Callithrix jacchus: one gene and its partner. The protein of the gene in region 1 binds, or shares a complex with, the protein of each later gene. Links are inferred from orthologs where the notes say so. Each region holds a gene or a part of one and is shown in the gene's direction. Other genes may lie near its edges.

What was found.
Region 2: the proteins of GIPR (region 1) and GIP are in contact, whole or in part, in a cryo-EM structure (PDB 7RA3), measured with the Homo sapiens proteins. The link is inferred for Callithrix jacchus from reciprocal best matches to the Homo sapiens genes GIPR and GIP. Residues at the interface, in NP_000155.1 of Homo sapiens: Gln30, Thr31, Ala32, Leu35, Tyr36, Trp39, Tyr68, Trp71, Leu88, Trp90, Arg101, Arg113, His115, Asn120, Gln130, Arg131, Leu134, Glu135, Leu137, Gln138, Tyr141, Tyr145, Arg183, Ile187, Arg190, Asp191, Pro197, Gly198, Pro199, Tyr200; in NP_004114.1 of Homo sapiens: Tyr52, Ala53, Glu54, Gly55, Thr56, Phe57, Ile58, Ser59, Asp60, Tyr61, Ser62, Ile63, Ala64, Met65, Asp66, Lys67, Ile68, His69, Gln70, Gln71, Phe73, Val74, Trp76, Leu77, Leu78, Lys81.

The regions. Positions count from the first base shown.
Region 1 is NC_133523.1:39,824,940-39,829,320, forward strand, and holds the start of GIPR (gastric inhibitory polypeptide receptor), read left to right. Parts: upstream 1-1,361; 5' UTR 1,362-1,431; intron 1,432-2,606; 5' UTR 2,607-2,650; coding exon 2,651-2,722; intron 2,723-3,745; coding exon 3,746-3,845; intron 3,846-4,350; coding exon 4,351-4,381. UniProt on the Homo sapiens protein: This is a receptor for GIP. The activity of this receptor is mediated by G proteins which activate adenylyl cyclase.
Region 2 is NC_133506.1:117,334,208-117,337,529, forward strand, and holds the end of GIP (gastric inhibitory polypeptide), read left to right. Parts: intron 1-664; coding exon 665-766; intron 767-2,517; coding exon 2,518-2,527; 3' UTR 2,528-2,639; downstream 2,640-3,322. UniProt on the Homo sapiens protein: Potent stimulator of insulin secretion and relatively poor inhibitor of gastric acid secretion.

The DNA.
Region 1 (4,381 bases):
ACATTTTTTTTTAAATGGGTGGGGCATGGTGGCTCATGCCTGTAATCCCAGCCCTCTGGGAGGCCAAGGCAGGAGGATCATCTGAAGCCAGGAATTGGAGAACACCCTGGTCAACATGGTGAAACCCCATCTCTACTAAAAATACCAAAAAAATTAGCCGGGCAGGGTGCCTCATGCCTGTAATCTCAGCTACTGGAGAGGCTGAGGTGGAAGGATCCCTTGAGCCCAGGAAGTGGAGGCTCTAGTGAGCTATAATTGTGCCAGTGCCCTCCACTCTTGTAAATAAATAAATTAATTTAATTAAAAAAGGATTGTATGGGCCGGATGCAGTGGCTGTGGCCTATAATCACAGCATTTTGGGAGGCCGAGGCAGGTGGATACCTGAGGTCAGGAGGTTTCCTCATCTTGCCCAGACTAGCTTGGGCAACACAGTGAAACCCTGTCTCAACCAAAAATACAAAAATTACCTGGGTGTGGTGGCACACACCTGTGGTCCCTGCTGCTCAGGAAGCTGATGCAGGAAAATCGCTTGAGATGCAGGAAAATCGCTTGAACCTGGGAGGCAGAGGTTTCAGTGAGCTGAGATTGTGCCACTGCACTCCAGCCTGGGCGACAGAGAGAGATTCTGTCTCAAAAAATACAAAACAAAATGATATGTCTGCGAGTAACCAGACAACTGCATACTACACATATTTATTTCATGACCATTCTTCCTTGAACCCCTGCTCTGAATGATTCTGGGGACCCAGTGGTGACCCAGATGTCCTGGCTCTGCCCTCTCAGGTCTCACAGGCTAGCAGGGCAACAGTGTTTGTGACGAAACTCAGTGGCTGCGCGAATCTGCGTGTGATCGAGTGTTGTTGGAACTTGGGACACTGTGAGTGTGACTGTGTGTGGGAGTCCATGGCCCTGGGCATGTGGCTGTGTCACTATGGATGACTGTCTGCCTGTGAGTGAGGAGCTGTGGCTCTCTGGGTGTGACCATGGGACTGTAGGGCTGTGACTGAACTTGCGGCTGTGTGAGTAACAGTTTGTGAGATTCTGTGACTGTGCCTCTCCACGGCTCAGCCTATGGGATTGTGTGACACTGCATGTTTTGATTGAGTGAGTGAGGCTCTGGGAATGAGTGACTGGGTGGGGGGGACCTGTGGGTGGGACAGCATGAGAGATTGTGCACACTTGGTACAGGGGTCCTCAGGACGATAAGAACAATTCAGTAACTGCCCTCCCTCATGACCTTGATGACTGCCCCCTGCTCAGCTCTCTGCCCCAGAGCTCCCCACTTCCGTTCCCCGTCCGCCTTGGCCCCGCCCCCTCCCACCACCCCGGGCTGCCTGCGCCTGTCACCTCTCCCGGAGCCCAGATGAGACAGTGGAGGCAGCGGTGGCAGGGGCTGCGGGAGCAAGGGACCAGGAGCAGGACTGGGGACAGGTGAGGGCTCCCCAGTCCCAGCCCATTCCTCCTGCCCCCCTCCACCCCTCAAGTCTCTGGGACTCTCCTCCTCTGCTTCTCTGCCCTGCCTTTGTCTCTGTCTCTGTGCCCACCACAGTCTCTGCTCATCTCTGTCTCTTGATGTCTCTGTGTGTCTTCATCTCTGCTGAGCTGAGATACCCTTTTTCCCCCTTGCTGTCTCCCTGCACTTCTCTCCCTCCTCTTTGTCTTCTAGCCCACATCTGTGTCTCTCTGTTTCTTGGTCTCTGGTCTCTGTCCGGGGATCTCATTCTGTCCCTCAGTCTCTGTGCCTCTCGGTCTTTATATTTCTGTCGCTTGTGTCTGTGACGCCGTTGTCTGGGGTTGGATCTGAGATCCTCTCTGCTTCCCTCTTTCTCTACGTGGAGTTGCGGGGGCACGGGTGGGTGGGTGGGTGGGTGGTGGGCGGTGGGCGTTACATAGACGGCTTTCCAGGCATCTGCACACACCTAACCCCGGATCTGTCGCCTTTCCCGTCCCTGAGTATTTGGGTGCTGGGAAAGGCTTGTCCCACTTCCTTGGGCTTTATCTGCCCCCACCGGGGAAAGTTTTATAAGGTTGGCTTCCTATCTGTGCTACAAAACCCTTTGGGCTTGGAGAGGGAACCTGGAAAGGCATTTCAAGTTCTCCACCAGGCTGGGGAACTCAGGTGGTCGTTTCAAGCACCCCACTAGGAGGAACTGAAAATCTTCGAGTTTTTCAGTCCCCCATATAAAAGGGGGCTAGGCTGATGGTTTCTACTCTCTCTTCTCCAAGGCAGTCCCTGGGTTCCCAGGAGTCTGTAGGTCCAGACTCCCGGTGACACTGACGCTTCCGCCCAGCGTAGCTCTAGGGCAACCGCCCGCTCAGCAAACACCCCCCTTCCACCTTCGCTGCCCGAGCAACCGTCAAGGGCGGCCTGGGAGTCACTTAAGGGGCCCTGCCCACCACCGAGTCCCACCCACTCCGCATGCCTCTCCCTCCCCCCAGATCATCACACCTGGGAGTTGTTGGGGGGGGTTAGGGGGTGTGAGGGAATGATGGGGGGACGAGCTGCCTGGGAGTCTGCATATGTAAATCCCTGAGGCTGGGTGACGCTGGGGATGGAGTCAGAGGGCGGAAGGCTGAGGCGCTCACCCTGCCCTGGGACCCTCCAGGCCTGATCGACCCTGCGCCAACCAGACCCTTCATCACCCTCCCGATGACTACCTCTCCTACCCTGCAGCTGCTGCTGCGGCTCTTGCTGTGGGGGCTGCTGCTACGGAGGGCGGAGGTGAGGACCCGAGGAGCCAGAGGAGCTCCAGGCTTGGAGGGAAGTCTGGGGATGGTTGGTTTTAGGGCTTCCCTAATTAGGGCTCATACCTGTAATCCCAGCACCTTGGGAGGCCGAGGCAGGTGGATCACTTGAGGTCAGGAGTTTAAGACCAGCCTGGTCAACATGGTGAAACCCCATCTCTACTAAAAATTTAAAAATTAGCCAGGTGTAGTGGCACGCACCTGTAGTCCCAGCTACTGGGGAAGCGGAGGCAGGAGAATCGTTTGAGCCCAGGAGGCAGAGGTTGCAGTGAGCCAAGATCACACCACTGCACTCCAGACTGGGTGACAAGAGTGTGACTATCTCAGAGAAATAAAAAAATAAAGCACAAGGAGAGTTTCAAGACTGCCCCACTTGCCCAGATTCAAGTTGTGGGGTTTTGTTTTCTTTTTTGTTTTTGAGACAGAGTCTCACTCTGTCACCCAGGCTAGGGTGCAGTGGTGCCATCTCAGCTCACTACAGCCTCCATCTCCTGGGTTCAAGTGATTATCCGGCCTCAGCCTCCTGAGTAGTTGGGACTACAGGAGCCTGCCACCACCACCACGCCCAGCTAATTTTTGCATTTTTAGTAGAGACGGGGGTCTCACCATGTTGGCCAGGCTGGTCTCGAACTCCTGGCCTCAAGTGATCCACCCACCTCGGCCTCCCAAAGTACTGGGATTACAGGCATGAGCCACCACGTCGGGGCCCAGATTCAAGTTTTGATGATTGTTTCCACTTCCTTTTCTTCCCCCAACAAATCCTCCTGATAATTTCAGCCACCCCTTCCCCAGTTTTCTTGAAGGTTTTCAGTCTCCCATAGCCACTCCATTCGGTGGCTTCCAGGCCCCAAGACTTGAAACTTGGTTCCAAACCACCCAAGACTCCCGAGCAAAACTGGACAGCCCCTCGAAGTCTCTCTGGGGTGCTTCTGGCTCACATGGCCAAGCAGCCCGGGGGCGGGGGTCGGTCTGGGGGGTCCTCCCTTCTTTCTTTTCCTAGACAGGCTCCGAGAGGCAGACGGCGGGGGAGCTATACCAGCGCTGGAAACGGTACCGCAAGGAGTGCCAGGAGACCCTGGCAGCCGCGGAACCGCCCTCAGGTGTGACCAAGAGGGCTGGGGACGCAGGGAGGACCCAAAGCTGAAAGGGGTAGGCTTAGAGGGGGGCTTCGGGCTGACAGGTGAAGAAGAAATCTCGGGTGCTGTGGGCTGGAGAGGCCCGGGGGCTGACCTGGGCGCTGTGGGAACTGGAGCGGGACCACGGTTCCGAGGGGCAGCCTCGGAAGAAGCTTGAAATGGAAGGAGCCTTGGGTGGGACCTGTACTAAAATGGACCTTGAAGGGGATGTGGTTTGGGATGGAGACTGGGTAGGGCCCCTCCGCGTGGGAAGATCTGGGGCGGTGACTTGTTTGGTGGGAGGAGCCTCGAGTGGGGCTGGGAGGGGGCGTGGCTTTGAGGCTAGTGGGAGGGGCTTGTGGCCAACCCGGGACAACATGCACTCCGAGTGGGCGGGGCTAGACCCGGGCTTGGACTGTGGCGGGCCGGGAAGCCCTGGCCCACTGCGCAGCGGGTCCACTGGGCACCTGGCCCCCCTGCCCACCCCCAGGCCTCTCCTGTAACGGGTCCTTCGATATGTA
Region 2 (3,322 bases), on another chromosome or scaffold:
CACCCCACCCCCACCTCGTTGTTCCCTCTCCCTGACCCCAGAGCAGAGCAAGGACCTGTGATAAGCATCCTCTTCCTCTCAGAGTTCAAAGAGGGGTCTTCATTGAGCAAACTCCTGGAGGTCAGCCGGAGCTTAAGGAAGAAGCCCTGGAGGAACAGGGGAGGGGTGCTAGGAGGAGTTTCAGGGACAGGGTTTCTAAGATTGATGACTTCATGCATAGCAGAGTCCCTGTCAGGAGAAGGCCGGGAAAGAAGAGACTCAGGTCCTGGCCTTGCCACCTCGGGAAGGCTGTTTGTGAAAGAAAGGGGGATCTTCCCTGGCTCACTCCCCTGAAATCAGTTACCCCCTCTGAATGGCACAGGGCATTTCAAAGAGTGAATGTGCCCAAAGTACTCTCTGCATCCTGCAACGCTTGCAGAGGTGGATGGGTGGAATATTTCACACCAGAATTCTGTTCGACTCTTCCTGTGTGAGGGGTCCATATTCCCCAGGAAGGCAGTGCTGGATGGGGCTGGCAGAAAGAAGGATCCAGATTTCATAGCTGAGCCAATGGAGAGGCAGCTGTGTCAGCTCCCCTGCAATCCGTGGTGTCCCCAGCCCCGTGTTTACTCTCTCTGGGTAAGGCCCAGGCTAAAATAGTCAGCCAGAGGCTGATCCCTTGCAGGTCCCCACCCAAGAACCCCAGCAATGAAGATTTGCTTCGGGACTTGCTGATTCAGGAGCTGTTGGCCTGCTTGGTGGATCAGACAAACCTCTGCAGGCTCAGGTAGGGAGCGTGGTGCCTCACAGCGGCTCTAACTTGAGTTCGGTAACAGACATGGATTCAGATCTTTGCCCCTCCACGTGCCGGCTGATTACTAGCTTTTCCGAACCTGTGTTTTCATTAAAATCAGAGGTATAGAATCATTTCAAGGGGTTGTAGTGAGTTTTAAATTAGAGAATACAAGTGGAAAAATACAAAGAAAAAAACCAAAAGACAAAAAAGAGACAATTTAAGCAGAGACCTGAGGGCCACATTTGAGGAGTAATAAGAGCTCAGAAAGGTTAGCAGCTCTGATTACTATTTGTTCTTCCTCACTCTTCCAGGCGAGGTGCTGCGCTCTTCTCCCCTGCCTGTCCCTACCCACCGAGCTGAGCCCATTCTGTGTTCTGCCTGTCCCTACCCGCCAAGCTGAGGCCATCCTGTTCTCAGCTCTTTCTCTGTACTCTTGGGCCATGGCACCTTCCTGGTGGTGGGAACCTGCATGGTGGGAGCCATGTTGCCTTTCTCTGTAGCCACTGCTGGCTTCAGTGGTCTCTTGAATCTACCTCACCAGCTAGAAAATTCTTCAGTCCATTCCTTATGTCCCAGAATTGAGGGACTAAATGTTATGAAGAGACCTGTCCACCTAAAGGGTGAGACAGGAATCCCATGGTGCAGACAGGAGGCATGGAAGCCAAAACACTTTAGACTTTGATGCTGAGCAACTGGGGAGAGACTGAGGGAGAAAATCTGGGACAGGAACTTCAGGAAGGGAAGAAGGGACAGGAGTGTGAGCAGATCAATGGAGAAGAGGGTGTGCAAAAATCTCTGTAGGGAGGTGGATAACAGTCTCTGTACTTTTGTGAATTATTTTGATTACTTATCATTAAAATGGTGATTTGAGAGGGCAGAGATGGGAGCATTTGCTTGAGACCAGGAGTTCCAGACTGCAGTGATATATGATTTCACCTGTAAATAGTCACTGCACTCCAGCTTGGGCACCACAGTGAGACTGTCTCAAAACTGAGTAAACTGGCCGGGCGCGGTGGCTCACGCCTATAATCCCAGCACTTTGGGAGGCTGAAGTGGGCAGATCACCTGAGGTCAAGAGTTCAAGACCAGCCTGGCCAACATGGTGAAACCCCGTCTCTACTAAAAATGAAACAAAACAAAACAAAACAAAAAACCCAACAAAACAACAAAAAAAACCCTAAGTAAAATGATTAAAAATATATATATATATATATTTGAGACGGAGTGTCGCTGTTGTTACCCAGACTGGAGTGCAATGGCACGATCTCGGCTCACCGCAACCTCCACCTTCTGGGTTCAAGCAATTCTCCTGCCTCAGCTTCCCGAGTAGCTGGGACTACAAACACGCACCACCGTGCCCAGCTAATTTTTGTATTTTTCTTAGAGACGGGTTTCACCTTGTTGACCAGGATGGTCTCGATCTCTTAACCTCGTGATCCACCCGCCTTGGCCTCCCAAAGTGCTGGGATTATAGGTGTGAGCCACCGCGCCTGGCCTTAAAAAATGGTCAGGCTGGTCTTGAACTCCTGACCTCAGGTGATCCACCAGCCTTGGCCTCCGAAGTGCTTGGATTACAAGTGTGAGCCACCACGCCTGGCCCTTAAAAATAAAAAATTTTTAAAAGGTGATTTAAATGTAGGAGGGATTCAACAATGGCTGAGTCCCAGGAGAAATGTGCTTGGCCTACTGCAAGTCCCTAACAACCTTCCTCTCTACCACTTCTCCTTTTCCCACTGTCCCAGGTCTCGGTGACTCTGACCACACCCAGCTCAGGACTGGATTCAGCCCTTCACTTAGCTCCTGCCTCAGCCCCACTCTGGAGTAGAAAAGAAAAGCCAAACCAATAAAGTCTATGCTGAGATAAGTTGAGTCCATTGTGAAAATGTATTCAAATGACTACTGAGCACTAACAGGGCACGTTTGTCTTTGTGTATCTCTGTATGTGCTGGTACCACCCAATGGAAAAGAAATATGGTCTGGGCATGGTGGCATTTGCCCGTAATCCCAGTACTCTGGGAGACTGAGGCTGGAGGATTGCTTAACACCAGGGGTTTGAGACCAGCTGGGTAACATAGTGAGACCCTCGTCTTCTTTTTTTTTTTTGAAATGGAGTCTCATTCTGTTGTCCAGGCTGGAGTGCAATGGCATGATCTCAGGCATGAGCCATCGCGCTGGCCTGAGACTCTATTTTTAGAATAAAATAAAAAAAAGGAATGGGTTCGGTAGTGCAAGTCTGTCATACCAGTCTTTGGGAGGCCGAGGTGGGCGGATCACCTGAGGTCAGGAGTTTGAGACCAGCCTGGTCAACATGGCAAAATTCCATCTCTACTAAATGTACAGAAATTAGCTGGGCATGATGGCAGGCACTTGTTTGTAGTCCCAGCTACTCCAGAGGCTGAGGCAGAAGAACCACTTTGACCCAGGAGGCGTCACTTTGACCCAGGAAGTGGAGGTCTTAGTGAGCTGAGATTGTGCCACTGCACTCTAGCCTAGGTAACAGAGCAAGACTCTGTCAAAAAAGAAAAGAAAAAAGAAGTCCGGGCGTGG